Sus scrofa: one gene and its partner. Each later gene encodes a partner of the first gene's protein in a complex. Links are inferred from orthologs where the notes say so. Each region holds a gene or a part of one and is shown on either strand. Other genes may lie near its edges. The genes, in order: AP3D1 and AP3M1.

Region 1 (8,449 bases):
ACGTGCAGAAGCTTCAGGCCAAGGACATGCCGGTGGCAGAAGAAGTGAGTGCTCTCTTTGCTGGGGAGCTGAACCCAGTGGCTCCGAAGGCACAGAAGAAGGTCCCGGTCCCTGAAGGGTGAGCCATGTGGCCCGTCAGGGGACACAGAGCGGGCAGCAAGAGGGCCAATGGAACCAGAACTACACCCTGGACCTGCTCTCCAGCCAGGAGAGGAGCGGGAGGGTTGAGGACGGCCCCAGAGGCCTGAGCCCCTGTGGGCAGGACACAGGCCGTGTGGGGTCCTCGCCAGCTCCCCTGGAACCTGTTGTCCCCATCTCTGGTGTCATCCCTAGGAAGCAGGTCTGCTGGCGACCCTCAGGGGGTGCAGGGTCTCTGATTGGCTTGGCCTACTCTGGTCTTGGGCAGCTGCCCAGCCTCCCTGTCCTTTCTCCAAGGGGACGGCAGTATCCGGGGCCAGGCGTGCAGGCCGGAGCCACCGTGTGACCTCACTGTGTCCTGCAGCCTGGACCTGGATGCCTGGATCAACGAGCCACTCTCGGACAGTGAGTCTGAGGATGAGAAGCCCAAGGCCATCTTTCAGGACGAGGAGCAGCGGCATGCGAAGCAGCGGCCGCCTGAGGCAGATGAGCAGGAACTGGCCCGGGTGAGCGCCCAGTCACGTCTGGGCTATGTCCCGCTGTCCTGTGCCAGCACTGAGCCCACCTTTGACATGGGACTGGATTTTGTTGAAGTGAGGGTGGTTTCTCAAGCCAGGCCTTCCCCAGGGAGAGTTGTGGGGCCTGACCTCACTCAGGACCTGTGGTGCCCAGGGATGCTGCCCCACCAGGCCTCCTCCCTGCTCCTGCCCCTACCCCAGGCTCTGTCCCTGAGTGGGTAGCCTCAGGCAGCTCTGCCAGCCTCTCTGACCCCAGTCTTGAACCCTCTGGGTTGTTGTGCTTTCCACCCGTCTCCATACCTGCTCCTGCCCACCGCCGGCCTCGGTCTCCTCTGGGTCAAAGGCCAACAGTGAAAGGAACTGGGGATCCTGGGTCTGGTGCGAGGAGGTGGCCTGCGCCTGGGAGGACACGAGGGCTTCACACACCCACTGATGTACATGCTGGACCCTGTCCCCACAGCGCCGGGAGGCCCGGAAGCAGGAGCAGGCCAACAACCCCTTTTACATCAAGAGCTCCCCGTCCCCCCAAAAGGTGAGGCATGCCTGTCCTTAAGGGATGGTCCCCTGGTGTGCTGGGCTGTTGGCAGGTCCCCAGACAGGACTGGAAGGGGCTCTTGATCCCGAGCCCCACAAGTGGATCTTTGGCTAGGCTTCTCAGCTGGGTGTGCAGGGCTGCAGATGTGGTGCCTCAGCGGGAGGGAGTGGACACCAGAGGACATGGGTCCTGCCTGGTGCCTCTGTCTTCATCCATACCCCACCTAGCAGAGCCCCAGGGAGACAGGCTCCACATGGCGGCTGCTGGGCTGTTTCCCTGCTTTTGGGATTTTGGGATCACTGGATGACTCTGCTCACTTCTCTGAGGGGCTCCAGCCTGTCCCCCCCGAACCTGCCTGTGGGCCCTGCTGATTCCAGCCATCCTGGGGGCAGGAGGTACCACATTATCCTGGTTCCAAGCCTGCACTACTTTGCTTTTCTCTTCTCTTCTCTCCTCTCCTCTCCTCTCCACTCCCTCTCCTCTCCCTCTCCTCTCCCTCTCCTCGTCATTTCTTGGGCCGCTCCAGCGGCATATGGAGGTTCCCAGGCTAGGGGTCGAATCGGAGCTGTAGCTGCCAGCCTACGCCGGAGCCACAGCAACGCGGGATCCGAGCCACGTCTGCAACCTACACCACAGCTCACGGCAACGCTGAATCGTTAAGCCACTGAGCAAGGGCAGGGATCGAACCCGCAACCTCATGGTGCCTAGTCGGATTCGTTAACCACTGCGCCGTGACGGGAACTCCTGCACTACTTTTCTAATTTGGGAGGAAAAGATTCTAATGAACAAAATTACTGAGTGTTGGATTCTACGCTGTACATTATGTTTATGCCAACTCCCCACCCCCATCTCTGTGACTCTGTTGCTTTGGGCCGCTGCCCTGCCCAGTGACGGGTGCCTTGCTATCTCCTCTCCAGCGATACCAGGATGCACCGGGTGTGGACCACATTCCTGTGGTGCAAATTGACCTCTCAGTGCCCTTGAAAGTGCCAGGCAAGTATCTATAGGGACCTGCACTCCCACTGTCTCAGCACCTGGCCTCCACCTTATCCCAATAGAGAGAGGCCATGTGCCGTGCTAACCTCTGTTCATGTCCCAGCAGCTAGAGGGCAGTGCCCATGCATCCTCTTGCAACCCTAGGCATGGTGCTCAGGGTGGCCGTGGCCTGGGCCCAGGACCGAGCACTGAGTATGCATTGTTTGCAGGGATGCCCATGTCGGACCAGTACGTGAAGCTGGAGGAGGAGCGGCGCCATCAGCAGCGGCTGGAGAAGGACAAGAGGAAGAAGAAGAGGAGGGAGCGGGAGAGGCGGGGCACACGGCGCCATAGCTCATTGCACACAGAGAGCGATGAGGACATCGCACCTGCCCAGCGCGTGGACATCGTCACTGAGGAGATGCCTGAGGTCAGTGGCCCTCCCCGTGGGGGCCCACCCGTTGCTGTTGTCCCTGTCGTGGGGAGGGCCTCAACCAGCTCTGTCCAGTGAGCTCTGAGCAGGCGGCCCCCAGGCTTCTGCTTAATGACAGGTGTCTCGGCCTGAGTGCCAGGCCCAGGTCAGACGCCCTTGCGAGTGTGGACCTGGTGGTCTCTTTCCTAGAAGAGTGTGGGGGTGCTTCCTTAGACCCTTAAGGCTCGGCAGGGTCGGGGGGATAGGGCGAGGCAAACCTGACCCAGCATTTCCGTCCTCCCTCAGAACGCCCTGCCCAGCGACGAGGATGACAAAGACCCAAACGACCCCTACAGGGCCCTAGACATCGACTTGGACAAGTGAGTGCTGGACATAACTCAGACTCTCCTTGTCCCATGGGAGCAGAGGGGTGGCTAGGGTACCCCTCCCCCAGCCTCATCCCAGGCCAAGTCTCCTGTGACCATCCAGGCCCCTAGCTGACAGCGAGAAGCTGCCTGTGCAGAAACACAGAAATGCTGAGACCCCCAAGTCCCCTGAGAAAGAGGACATCCCCGTCATAGAAAAAAAGAGCAAGAAACCCAAAAAGAAGGAGAAGAAGCACAAGGAGAAGGAGCGAGAGAAGAAGAAGAAGAGAAAGGAAGCAGAGAAGGTGAGGCCCTGGTGCAATGGGCAGTCCCAAGGACCCAGCTCCCTCCCATCAGTGGGCCGTGGGGTCGGGTGCTTTCATAGAAGCATCAAATGTAGGTCATGTTGCTTGGCTCAAGGCGGCACAGTTCCTCCAGGCCTGACCGGGTTGTCCTGTGCTCTGGCCAAAGGCCACCTTCCTTTGGTTTCAGGGTGAGGACTTGGACTTCTGGTTGTCCACCACTCCACCTGTTGCAGCCCCAGCCCCGGTAAGAGCCTGATGGCGACCTGTACCAAGGTGCTCCTTGGCCAGACACGTGTGCTCTTCGGCCTTGGAGGCTGCCTCTTAGAAACATTGGGGTGCTCCCTGCTCCCTTGGTGCCCTGCCTGGCCCTTCCCCTTCATCACCCACAGCCCTTCTGGCCTCTTGCACCCCGGCTACAAAGGGATACGTGGGGACCCTAAGGCACACAGACAACTTTGGGCCAGCTCGGTCCTGTTCCCGGCGTCTTACCCTGACAGTGGCTGTGTGACACTGCTCGGTGTAGAGCCCGGACCCCCAGAGCCAGGCAGCAGCTCTGAACAGCTGCATTATGTTGCCGGCTGGAGCCTGGTGCCTCTGGGGTCTCATGCAGGGTTGCTGGCCAGTGCCAGCGAGCCTCAAGCCAGGCGTCCTCTCCCCTCAGCTGGCCACTGGCTCAGATCAAGGCCCCACACCTGCGTCCTTACAACACACCTAGCCTGCCAAGGGAGGCTCCTCATGGCCGGGTGTCCCTGGAAGGCGGGTGGGTCAGGGCAGAGGGAGCTGCCTTTTGAGCCTCTCACTTGGCTTCCTACAGGAAGAGCCCAGGGTGAATGCTGCAGCCACTGCCCCTGAGGAGGGGCTTGAGGAGCCCAGGGAAGAGGTGCAGGATGCTGACGAGGACGAGCACCAGGAGCCTGAAAAGGTACGAGAGCCAGGCAAGAGGTGCTTACTGCTGCCCACATCCCACCAGTGGTTTCTCATTGCCGTGGCTATGGGGCTCTGACCCACAACAGCACTATTGAGCTGTAACTCGTCCACAGTGAACTATTCATGGTTCTGCTGCCACCGCCTCTAATTCCAGAACGTCCCATCACTGCTAAAGGGAATCCATTTCTGTCATCAGCCCTACCCCCATTCCTCTTTTCTGACAACCACTAACCCCCCCTTTGTCTCTGTGGATGTGCCTGTTCTGGATGTTTCCCATCTATGGAATCCCACACTGTGTGTCCTTCTGTGTCTGCTGCTCTGACTGAGCATCGTGGTCTCTGGGTCCGTCCATGTGGTAGCAAGTATCGGGGCTTCTTTCCTTTTCATGGCTGAGTGATGCTCCATGTGTGGAGGGACTGCACGGTGTTTGTCACCTTTTGGTGGACACTGGGTGGTGCCCAGCTTTTGGCTGCTGTGAGTCATGCTGATGTGAGTGTCTGAGTGTGTGTGGGGCGGGGGTGGTGGGGGAGACACTGAGGAGTTCTGTGGTTGCTGGGCCATCACGTCTGCACTCTCCCTGGTTTTCCTCATGCATTTTACCCAGCAGCAACGACTATCCAGCCCAGCAGTGAGTTCCCGGGTCCTCGTGGTGGCCCTTCCCTGCAGCCCTGGGGATTGCTGGCCTGCTCACCCTGATGTGTGGGCCCTTTACCTTAGCATGCTTGGTCCCCACAATATGAGATTCGATCACCACTGTGGTACCCACGTGAGTGTGGGATTGACCTGAACTATTTCTGTTTAGAAAACTTCCAAGGAGAAGAAGAAGAAACACAAGAAGGACAAGGAGGAGAGGCCCAAAGACAAGAAGAAATCCAAAAAGAAGACACCTCCAAGGGAAGGAGTGGCTGAGCCCGTGGAGAACGGCGCACTAGATGAGGAGCCCCTCCCGGTGAGGGTGCCACTGGCGCCTGCCTGGTCCTCCCCAGACAGCCCTGACAGTGTCAGGAGCCCCAAGGTGTGGGCTCATGCTGTCCAGGACCCGCTCCATTGGGCCTAGCATTTCCTGCGGGAGCACCTGGAAGCTTACACCTGGCCCCACCCTCAGCAGACATCACGCTCAGGTTCTTGGCACCCAAAGCTGACACGTTTTTCTCTTATTCCCAGCCCATGTCTAGCTACTGCCTCTTGGCTGAAAATTCGTACATCAAAATGGTGAGTGAGAAGTGTGTTTCAGAGAGCATGGTCCACGGAAGGCTCGGGGGGGTCCTTTCTCTGTGAGGGTGTGTGGAGGCAGAGCCGTGCATCGGGAATAGCTAAAATCTGTGTACATATCTGAAACTCAGTGTCCTTGAGTGAGGGTCCAGAACGTTCCTTCCTTTGCATACTTGTGCTCACACTTTTGGGCCTTCATCCAGGCCCAGAGGGGCCCCTGGTGGGCTCCCTGCACTGCTGACCTTGCCTTGCTCTGTGCAGACATACGATGTGCAGGGCAGCCTGCAGAAGGACAGCCAGGTCACCGTGTCCGTGGTCCTGGAGAACCAGAGCAGCAGCTTCCTCAAGAGTATGGAACTCAACGTGCTGGACTCACTCAACGCCCGGCTGGCCCGGCCAGAGGGCTCCTCAGTCCATGATGGTGTCCCTGTGCCTTTCCAGCTGCCCCCTGGTGAGTGGCCCCAGGACTGGCCATCACTGAGGGCAGACCCTGGGTTGTGGGGTACCTGCCACCTGCTGGGATAGCCACACACACGCTCCCAGGCTGCACCCTGCGCTGCTTTTCAGGCCCCTCTCACCCTCACTAGGCATCTCCAACGAAGCCCAGTTTGTGTTCACCATTCAGAGCATCGTCATGGCGCAGAAGCTCAAGGGGACACTATCCTTCATTGCCAAGGTACGGGGAAGCAAGGCAGCAGTGGGGCCGCCAGCTGAGAGAACCCCTACTCTGGAGCCATGCCCACACTCACCCTGCATCCCTACTCCAACAGAATGACGAAGGCTCCACCCATGAGAAGCTCGACTTCAAGCTGCACTTCACCTGCACCTCCTACTTGGTCACCACACCTTGCTACAGGTATGCCCCCTTCCATGCTGTGCCAGGCTCTGGGTGCAATCACCTCAGCCATGCTCTCTGATTTAAGGTGTGAGAGTGCACGGACTGTCGGGTGACCGGTTTATGGTGAGCACAAAAAGCCCAGCATATCTGCTGTGCCGGCCAGCTCAGCTGCATAACACTGAGCGCAGGTCCTGTGGTCCAAGCACAGGTATTGGTTTCCTCCCAGTGCTGCAGGCTGAGACCAGTGATGGCAGAAGTGGGTCATCCTGAGGCCATCCTGTTTGGAGTGCAGACGGTCACGTGTCTTGTTCTCACAGGGACCCCAGTCTCAAATGCAGTTGCATTCTGACGTCCTGGGGGTCTGGGCTTCAACATAGGAGTTTCGGGGACATAGTCCAGCTCTTGATTTCTCACAGCACCCTTGGAGACCCTAAGCCACAGGCACACACCAAGGCCCCCTGTTTTTACTGTCCCGTTCCGTCCCTTTCCCACAGTGATGCCTTTGCCAAGTTGTTGGAGTCTGGGGACCTGAGCATGAGCTCAATCAAGGTTGATGGCATTAGTATGTCCTTCCAGAACCTTCTGGCAAAGATCTGTTTTCATCACCGTTTTTCCGGTAAGGGATTGGACATGGCTGATAGATGGCTCTGCTTTTCTACACATGTGACTCCTCCCCACCCCAGGGCTGGCCCAGCCTCACCCCTTGCCCTCTGTTGTAGTTGTGGAACGAGTGGATTCCTGCGCCTCCATGTACAGCCGCTCCATCCAGGGACACCACGTCTGCCTCCTGGTGAAGAAGGTGAGCCCTCAGGAAGGTCCCACCCAGCCTTTCCACTCCTCAGCACTGTGCCTTTGCAGCTTTGAGCCCTGTTCAGGAGGATGTTGGCCTATCCTGCGCTCCTCTGGCCTTGGCACTGGGACCTCACCAACTAAGTGGGGAGGCATTCCTTCCTCTAGCCTTTTGTAGAAGAGGTGGCGTGTAGTCAGTGTACATCTTCTTGCATGTTATGTAGAATTCACCAAGGAAATCAGGTCAGGGGCCTTCTTTTTTGAAAGGTTTTTATCTACAACTTCAACTTCTTAAAATTGCAGGAATTCTTTTTTTTTTTTTCTTTTGTCCTTTTGTCTTTTTGCCACTTCTTGGGCCACTCCTGCCGCATATGGAGGTTCCCAGGCTAGGGGTCGAATTGGAGCTGCAGCCACCAACCTATACCAGAGCCACAGCAATGCAGGATCCAAGCTGCGTCTGCAACTTATACCACAGCTCACGGCAACGCCAGATCCTTAACCCACTGAGCAAGGCCAGGGATCGAACCCGCAACCTCATGGTTCCTAGTCAGATTCATTAACCACTGAGCCATGACGGGAACTCCAAAATTGTAGGAATTCTTAATTTATCTGTTTTTTCTTGTATGAGTCGTGGTAGTTTGTGGTTTTCAAGATGTGGTCCATTTCATCCTAGTTACAGAGTTGATCATGGGTTGAGTGTTCTTGTCCTTTTAGTCTCTGAGGGATCAGTGAAAACCTTCCCTCATTGCTGATGTTGGTAATTTGTGTCTTCTCCCATTTTTCTTGGCTAGAAGACTTACCCATTTTGTCGATCCTTTTTTTTTGTGACCCTGCCAGCGCCATGCAGAAGTTCATGGGCCAGGGATCAAACCAGAAACATAGCTTTAACGCCAACTCCTTAACCCACTGAGCCACCAGGAAATTTCTTGTTGCTCTTTTGAAAAATCAACTTCAGAAATAACTTTTTTAGGGCGACACCTACAGCATACAGAAGTTCCCAGTCTTGGGCTCGAATCAGCTGCAGCTGCCAGCCTGCACCACAGCCACAGCAGGGCCAGATCTGAGTTGCATCTGCGACCTATACCACAGCTTACAGCAACACTGGATACTTAACCCACTAAGTGAGGCCAGGAATCGAACCCGCATTCTCATACTAGTTGGGTTCATTACTGCTGAGTCACAGTGGGAACTCCCAGAACCAACTTTTAAAATAAAGTTACTGTGTGAGGTTTTTTTGTGGCCCAGTGGGTTAAGGATCCACCATTGTCAAGCTTGCGTTGCTACTATGGTATAGGTTTAATCCCTGGCCCAGGAATTTCCACATGTAGTGGGTAGGCGCCAAAAAAAAAAAGTTACCATGTTTTTAAACAGTAAGTAAATTTTATGGAGTTATGCTGCCTAGCTCCTTACTTCTATTTGGGGTTTATTTTGCTCC
Region 2 (8,449 bases), on another chromosome or scaffold:
TTAATAAAAGATTTTTCACTTGTGTTTTTCTCACACTGTTCCTTCCATCTATAAAGAATACTCTTACTCCTTTCTTTTCCTAAATTCTAATAACTCTCAAAGACCCTGCCCTAGGGCTACCCACTACAGCTCAGAGGGATTACTTTGTCCAATGAACAATTCTCTTGATCTTTATAATGTATTGCCTTAATAATCCACATTATTTTTATTAATTTTTTTGGTCTTTTTATGGCCACACCTGCAGCATATGGAAGTTCCCAGGCTAGGGGTCAATATAGAGCTGTAGCTGCTGGCTTACAGCACAGCCACAGCAACTGTGACCTATACCACAGCTCTCATCAACACCAGACCCTTAACCCACTGAGAGAGGCCAGGGATCAAATCTGCATCCTCATGGATACTAGTTGGGTTTGTTACTGCTGAGCTAGGATGGGAACTCCCATGTTATTTTTTAATTCTGTATTTCAGTAACTTTTTTTTCTCCCAAGTATAAAAATACATGTTCATTTTAGAAACCAGAAAGTATAAAGCAAAAATAAGGATAATATATAGGTCCTTAGCTGGAGATATCATAAACTTTAGAACTTTTCTGTGTGTGTATTTATGTATTATTAAGAGTATCTTTTTATGGTTTTGTGCTTTTTTTTCATTAAATATTATATCATGTGTACCCTCCAGTGTCACTATATTGCTTATAAAGTAAAGAATTGCTTTTCAAAATCTTATACTGTTAATTTGTATGTTTCAATTTTTCTAGATTCCCACCCAAAGTTCAAGTTTTAGGAGCACAGACAATCTATCTTATCTTTTCTTAAATTTCTCCTGACACCCAGTCTTGCATAGAGGATGAAAAAAAGGAATGAATGATCACTTCCTTATAGGCTTCTCTCAGCCAATTTTTTTATGTTAGTGCTTTTCAAGGACTTTCCGAGTCCTTGAAAAGGGATTTATAATGGTGGGTAGCACAGCTGGAATGGCATATAACATTTCATAGAAATCTTTGTTTAGAAGACTTTGATACTTTCAAAAGTATATTGTCATCTGGATGTACCTAATATCTAGCTATACTCAAGAATTAAATCAAAATTAGAAGTTTGTAACACAAGTTCAAGGCCCATAATGCAGGAAGACAAATAGGCTAATTTTCTTTCTCTTTTTAATACATCTTCTTTATTTATAAAGACTTGGAAGAGATAGTATGTACTCTATGGTATAGTCTTAAAATTGTCTATACTCTAGTAGCTGTGGGTACCCAGCATAATGCCAGTTTTATAATGATATTTTTAAAAGTTGTATCTTTTCTCCAGCTTTATTGGGATATAGCTGACACATAATATTGCAGTAAGTTTAAGGTGTACAATGTACTGACTTGGTATATTTATAAAATAATGCTATTTTAAATATTAAAATGCTAGTCTATATATAAATTAAATGCTTTTCTAGGTAGCCTCATATTGGCTACAGTTTCATTATTTTATTTAATTTTATTTTTGTCTTTTTAGAGCCACATCCAGGGCATATGGAGGTTCCCAGGCTAGGGGCTGAATCACCAGATCTGAGCTGCATCTGTAATCTACACCACAGGTCAAGGCAATGCTGGATCCCTAACCCAATAAGCAAGGCCAGGGATCAAACGTGTGTCCTCATGGATTACAGTTTTATTTTTTCTATTTTTTTTTTTTTTTTGGTTGTACCTGCAGCATATGAAAGTTCTTGGGCCAGGGACTGAACCAGTCGTACAACAGCAACCTGAGCCACAGCAGTGACAATGCTAGACCCTTAACCAACCAAGCCACCAGGGAACTCTATTTTTTTCTAGTTTTATTGAGATACAATTGACATATAACACTATTATTTTAAGGTATACAACATAATGATTTGATATAGGTATATATTACAAAATGATTACCATGATAAATTTAGTTAACAGTCATCACTATATTGGTTTCTCTTTAAGTGGATAATTTAGTCATTCTTACTATTTAGTGTTAAATATAGTAATAATATTGTTGTAGTCTTACAGAAAAACCTGTAATACAAGAGTAACAAGCAAAAGTTCTTTATCATTTAAAATCAAGCCTCTTTTCATGAAAAGAAATATACATCTATTTTAACATTATCACTAACTTCAAATCCGGCCAAAACGGACTACCTTAAGAATCTGCCAGATCAAATAAACAAAAATGAATGTTTATGAAGTTTCAATTGCTCAGTTCTTATTAGAGTGCATTTCACTTACCTGTAATAGAGTTGACAACAGAACGTAGAATTGTTGGTGGTTTAATCAATTCTTTCAAAATGTTAGACTCCGTAGCCAGTGGAAATCCATTGTCTAGCATTTCTTCCAAGAGCTCATATACTATGACCACATTATCCTTAATTGCAGCCTCTGAACACTCACCAAAGTAGTCCTAACAAAAGGTACATAATATTGCACAATAGAAGACATGAAGAAAGGCTTGCTAAATACTTTCTGTGTTCTAAAGGGTAAACTTAAAGTAGCACAAATCATTGTTTAAGATGTCGAAAATATGTAAACAGAGGGTGAAAAAACCCTCTAGAGTTCTATATACTATTCTTCAAAATTTCCTTATTATTACTATTGTTTTTGGCTGCCCCACGACATTAGGAGTTCCTGGACCAGAGATCAGATCTGAGCCTCAGTTGTCACCTATGCTGCAGCAACACCAGATCCTTAACCCACTGTGCTGGGCCAGGGACTGAACCTGTGTGCCAGTGCTTGAGAGATGTCGCTGATCCTGTTGACCACAGCAAGAACTCCTCCTTAATGTTTTTAGATTGAATTGGATTCCTACTAAGTATTACGTCAGAAAATACACTGAAATGTTAAAACAGAATGTGAACTATAAACTTCATTTGTCCTGATCATGTACTCCAAGAAACATGGATAAGTTTTCTTTTTTTTTTTTTTTTTTTGTCTTGTTGTTGTTGTTGTTGCTATTTCTTGGGCCACTCCCGCGGCATATGGAGGTTCCCAGGCTAGGGGTTGAATCGGAGCTGTAGCCACTGGCCTACGCCACAGCCACAGCAACGCGGGGTCCGAGCCGCATCTGCAACCTACACCACAGCTCACAGCAACGCCGGATCGTTAACCCACTGAGCAAGGGCAGGGATCGAACCCGCAACCTCATGGTTCCTAGTCGGATTCGTTAACCACTGCACCACGACGGGAACTCCGATAAGTTTTCAATTATTGGTATATTCAGGAGGCCAAGAAAAAAAAATAATGTTAAGCAATGGAAGGTTTCATAACCAAAAAAATTCTTGGGACCATTCAGAGAACTGTACGTGGAGGGCACTATTATTTCCTGATGGCATAATCCATAATACATTAAAAAAATACAGTTTCCATGACTATGAGATTGTTCTGTTCTCCTAAAATTTTAACTGAGAAGCTATGTATACTACTGTATACCCTATAAAAAAGGTTTATGTTTATGAGCTTAAGCTTAGGTGAAAAGAACAGGGAGAGACAGAGAGATTACACATCAAAAGCTGGGTAATTAAAGAATATAACCGTGTTCCACCTTCATCAAACTTGGATAATTTAAATTCAAAAGATTTGATGAATAACCAACCTGAAAAGTGTCAGCAACTCGATGTAGGAACTCAATTACAAAGAGAGGTGGCACTTCAGTCTGTATGACAGAGACAAAGAAGAGCTTATCCCGGTATATACTGATGAGGTAGTGGTGAGGTGTTGAAATAACAGGAGGTACATTTTCAACATCAGCAGCTTTCTCTTGAGCTTCAAAGAAATAATCACAGACAGACTGGCTCACAACGCTCTTCCAGTGCTTCTCCAGAAATATGTCACCGGAACAGTTTATGAGAAATAGACTGTGGATCATTTTCTGGGAGGGAAAAAAAGTTTAAATTTAGTATACATCAAAAAAAGTATCCTTATATTAACCTGATAGCAAAACCACACAGAAGTTCCCGTCGTGGCACAGTGGTTGGCGGATCCGAATAGGAACCATGAGGTTGTGGGTTCGATCCCTGGCCTCGCTCAGTGGGTTAAGGATCTGGCGTTGCGGTGAGCTGTGGTGTGGGTTGCAGACGCAGCTCAGATCCTGCGTTGCTGTGGCTGTAGTGTAGGCCGGTGGCTACAGCTCCGATTCGACCCCTGGCCTGGGAACCTCCATATGCCATGAGAGCAGCCCTAGAAAAGGCAAAAAGACAAAAAAATAAAATAAAAGAATGTTTCGAAAAAACAAACAAAAACACACAAAAGCAATACAAGAAACTACAAACAAATATCACTTAAAAATATAAACGCAAAAATCCTCAGCAAAATACTAGCAAACTCAATCAAGTAACATGATTTATTTAAGAATGCAAGGTTAGTTCAATCAACATAATACACAGTATTCATAAAAGACAAAAATATAATTATTTAAAAAGGTGCAAGAAAAATCATTTGATAAATTTTATAGGACAAAAACATTTAAACTAGGAAGATAAATTTCCTCAACCTGATAAAGAACCTCTGTGAAACAACCAAAAGCTTTCCCCTTAATATCAAGAACAAACAATAATGTCCATTTTCAGCACTTTGAAAATGCTGAACATGGTAGGGTCTAGACAGGATAATTAAGCAAGAAAATGAAACAGAAGGCTTCCAAATTGGACAAGAAGCAAAACTATCTCTATTTGCAGATGATGTTATCTTGTATACAGAAAATTCTAAGGAATACACTTACACACACAAACCATTTTTTTTCCTTAAGGTCTGCACCTGCATCATATGGAAGTTCCCAGGCTAGGGGTTGAATTGGGGCTGTAGTTGCCAGCCTACACCATAGCTATAGCAACATGGGATCTGAGCCACATCTGTGACCTACAGCACAGCGCACAGCAATGCCGGATCCTTGACCCACTGAGCAAGGCCAGGGATTGAACGCACGTCCTCATGGATACTAGTCAGGTTCATAACCCACTGAGCCATGATGGGAATTCCCACACAAAAACTACTGAGAGCAATAAGTGCATTCATCAAGATTGCTTGATATAAGACTAATATAAAAAACCAATTATATTTCTACATATTAGCAATAACTACTCTGATACTGAAACTGAGAAAACAATTCTACTTACAAAAGCATCCAAAAGAAGATCAAAATACTTAGGATTAAATTAACAGAAATCTAAGACCTGTATATGGAATTCTACAGATCACTGAAAGACATTAAAAAGAACTAAAAAAAATGGAAAGACATTTCATGTTTATAGATTGGAAGACTTAATATGCTAAGATGACTATACTCCCCAAATTGACCTACAGATTTACTGCAATCTCTATTAGAATATCAGATGCCTTTTCAAAATGGAAACTGAAAGGCTGACCCTGAAATTTTTATGGAGATTAAAGAGACCAAGAACAACCGAATTGATCTTGAAAAAGAAGAACAAAACTGGAAGACTAGCACTTCCTGATTTCAAAACTTGATGTAAGGTACTGTGTTGTATTGGGCAGGGATCAAATCCTTAACCCACTGCGCCACAGCAGGAACTCCCAGAACCGACTGACTTTTAATTATCACCTCTGCTCTCTGATACACTATTTTTATTTATTAAATTTTTTTTCCCCCTTTTTGGCTGCCCCTTGGCATATGGAGTTCCATATGCCAAGGGGCCAGGGATCAGATCTAAGCTGCAGTTGTGGCCTATGCTGCAACTACATTAATGCCAGATCCTTAACCCACTGACCTGGGCTAGGGATCAAACCTGCATCCTAGGGCTCCAGAGATGTGCTGATCTTGCTGTGCCACAGCAGGAATTTCTGATACATGTCTAAAAAACAGAACAGGAGTATCCAGCAATAAGATCTGCAACTGAACTTGCATTATGATGCTTTTTCTTGGAATAAAATTTTCATCTCAAATATAAAGTATGGCTTAAAGTGGAACTTTGTCATCAACTCAATGAGACCCAGATTTGAGCATTTCAGATGAGACAGCTATAGAATATGGCATCCTTTGTGATAATTAACTTTCAGCTTTATTCAAAATGTTTTATTTATTAAAGATAAACAAATTAATAATACCTAAGATTGCATACTTATTGTGGAGCCAGACATATCCTAGGCGCTTTACTTACATTATTTTATTTAATCCTCACGACTCAATGCCACAAGTACTGCTCTTATCCCCATTTTACAGAAAAGACAATAACGTCTTGGAAATGTTATGTTACTTCTCTCAGATCATACAGGAAGTATCAGAACTAGGATTTAAACTTAGATCCAGCTGAATCTTGAGCTCTTGTTCTTACCTGTCTCTTAGAAACTATTAGGAAACACTAATGCAGCAGTGTCCAGTCGGATTTCCTGCAATGATGGACATATCCTTTATCTGTGCTGTTCAATACAGCAGCTACTAATCAGACATGAGCACTTGAAATGCGGCTAAAATTAAATAACGACACAGAGCTAGTGGTCGTCATTATTAGACTGGGCAGCAAATGCGAATTATAATTTAAGAGGGGTTAAAGAATATGCTTATTTAAGTAGAAGTGAAAATGTGTTCTAAATTATTTAGAGCAGAAATCTGTACTTAAGAGAGCTGACATAGGTTATCTTCTTAAACTATTTATCCTAAAGAAAGTATAGCCTGCACGGATCCATGGTACTCACTGCCACAATACACTCTAAGAGAGCTGCCTATTCTCAAAGTGAGTGACTTCAGTTTCTTATTGGAGAGGCCAGATTCCTACTCAATCTCTTTTTTTTTTGTCTTTTTGCCTTTTTTTTTTTTTTCCCCTAGGGCCGCTCCCGCAGCATATGGAAGTTCCCAGGCTAGGGGTTTAATTGGAGCTGCAGCTGCCAGTCTACGCCACAGCCACAGCAATGTGGGATCTGAGCCGTGTCTGTGACCTACACCACAGCTCATGGCAACGCTGGATCCTTAACCCACTGAGCAAGGCCAGGGATCGAACCTGCATACTCATGGTTCCTAGTCAGATTCATTAACCACTGCACCACGACGTGAACTCCTCAACCTCTTAAGCTAGTGAAAAATTCTTTCTAGGAAAAGTTTCCACCAAAGTTGTTTTCACTGGTAGTAGTTCAGGTCTCAGTTATATAGAGTAAATTAAACTCACCATCTAGATTTACTGATGTTGTCCCTAGTGCTGAGATAAAAGCAGAGCACTGATAGTTATCAACAGTGCCTCCCTTTAAAATAGGAAAAGAGGAGTTCCCATCGTGGCTCAGTGGCTAACGAATCCCACTAGGAACCATGAGGTTGTGGGTTTGATCCCTGGCCTCACTCAGTGGGTGTTAAGGATCCGGTGTTGCTGTGAGCTGTGGTGTAGGTCACAGACATGGCTCAGATCCTTCGTTGCTGTGGCTGCAGCACAGGCTGGTGGCTACAGCTCTGATTGGACTCTTAGCCTGGGAACCTCCATATGCCGTGGGTACGGCCCTAGAAAAAGACACACATACAAAATAGTTATAATAATACAATAAAATAGGAAAAGAGAGCTTATGTCTTCTATCCATATGATGACCAAAGGTGTAATGCAAAAAGCAAGTACCACTTGCAGCAGTGTAAATTAGCCTGTTTCTTTGGCTACTTACCTTTGAGTAGCTGCAGTTATTTCTTTCATTATTTTAATAAACTTTCTGAGAAAGCTACACATATACCAACACCACAACCATCTTTTTGTCCTAGAAGACATTTGAGGTAGAAAATAGAATTCTCCCAGCTTATTTTAAAACCACTTAAGAAACTGTTTAAAGGCAGTTCCATTAGAGCTTTGACTGCAGCTTAAACACTTCATAAAACCTCTGTATCAAATGCTGAACACACTTAACCTGATGATTTACAAGCAATGCAATTACAGCAGTCAAAATATCCTTAGGAGACAGTGTCTAAAAAAAGAAAATGTATTCCTTCTATATATAACAGAATGGAGGCATAGAAGGGCTATATTTCTAAGGTGAGAGAATGAGACTAGAAAATAATCTAGTTCCTCTGATTTACTTATTTTTGGCTATGTCTGTGGCAATGGGGAAGTTCCCAGGCGAGGGCTCAAACCCTTGCACAGTGGTGACTTGAGCCACAGCAGTGACAAGGCCAGATCCATTAAATCTGCTAGGCCACAAGATAACTCCAGGTCCTCCGATTTTTTTTTTTTTTTTGTCATTTTTTTTCCCCCCTGCGGCATATGGAGGTTCCCAGGCTAGGGGTCGAATTGGAGCTGTAGCTGCCAGCCTACACCAGAGCCACAGCAACTTGGGATCTGAGCTGCATCTGTGGCCTACACCACAGCTCACAGCAACGCCGGATCCTTAACCCACTGAGCAAGGTCAGGGATCGAACCCGAAACCTCATGGTTCCTAGTTGGATTTGTTAACCACTGAGCCACGACGGGAAGGAACTCCAGCTCCTCTGATTTTTAACCAGTATTTTGACCATTATTCATC

What was found.
Region 2: the proteins of AP3D1 (region 1) and AP3M1 are in contact, whole or in part, in a cryo-EM structure (PDB 9C5C), measured with the Homo sapiens proteins. The link is inferred for Sus scrofa from reciprocal best matches to the Homo sapiens genes AP3D1 and AP3M1. Residues at the interface, in NP_003929.4 of Homo sapiens: Lys29, Glu388, Gly389, Thr390, Thr391, Arg393, Glu429, Arg432; in NP_001307192.1 of Homo sapiens: Ser25, Ser27, Asp30, Tyr31, Glu34, Pro52, Asp104.

The regions. Positions count from the first base shown.
Region 1 is NC_010444.4:76,457,798-76,466,246, forward strand, and holds part of AP3D1 (AP-3 complex subunit delta-1), read left to right. Parts: coding exon 1-118; intron 119-502; coding exon 503-644; intron 645-1,116; coding exon 1,117-1,188; intron 1,189-2,108; coding exon 2,109-2,184; intron 2,185-2,396; coding exon 2,397-2,596; intron 2,597-2,884; coding exon 2,885-2,958; intron 2,959-3,067; coding exon 3,068-3,248; intron 3,249-3,414; coding exon 3,415-3,492; intron 3,493-4,062; coding exon 4,063-4,170; intron 4,171-4,977; coding exon 4,978-5,124; intron 5,125-5,339; coding exon 5,340-5,387; intron 5,388-5,648; coding exon 5,649-5,838; intron 5,839-5,974; coding exon 5,975-6,063; intron 6,064-6,157; coding exon 6,158-6,243; intron 6,244-6,719; coding exon 6,720-6,841; intron 6,842-6,944; coding exon 6,945-7,024; intron 7,025-8,449. UniProt on the Homo sapiens protein: Part of the AP-3 complex, an adaptor-related complex which is not clathrin-associated. The complex is associated with the Golgi region as well as more peripheral structures.
Region 2 is NC_010456.5:76,823,642-76,832,090, forward strand, and holds part of AP3M1 (AP-3 complex subunit mu-1), read right to left. Parts: intron 3,876-8,449; 5' UTR 3,873-3,875; coding exon 3,600-3,872; intron 2,412-3,599; coding exon 2,240-2,411; intron 1-2,239. UniProt on the Homo sapiens protein: Part of the AP-3 complex, an adaptor-related complex which is not clathrin-associated. The complex is associated with the Golgi region as well as more peripheral structures.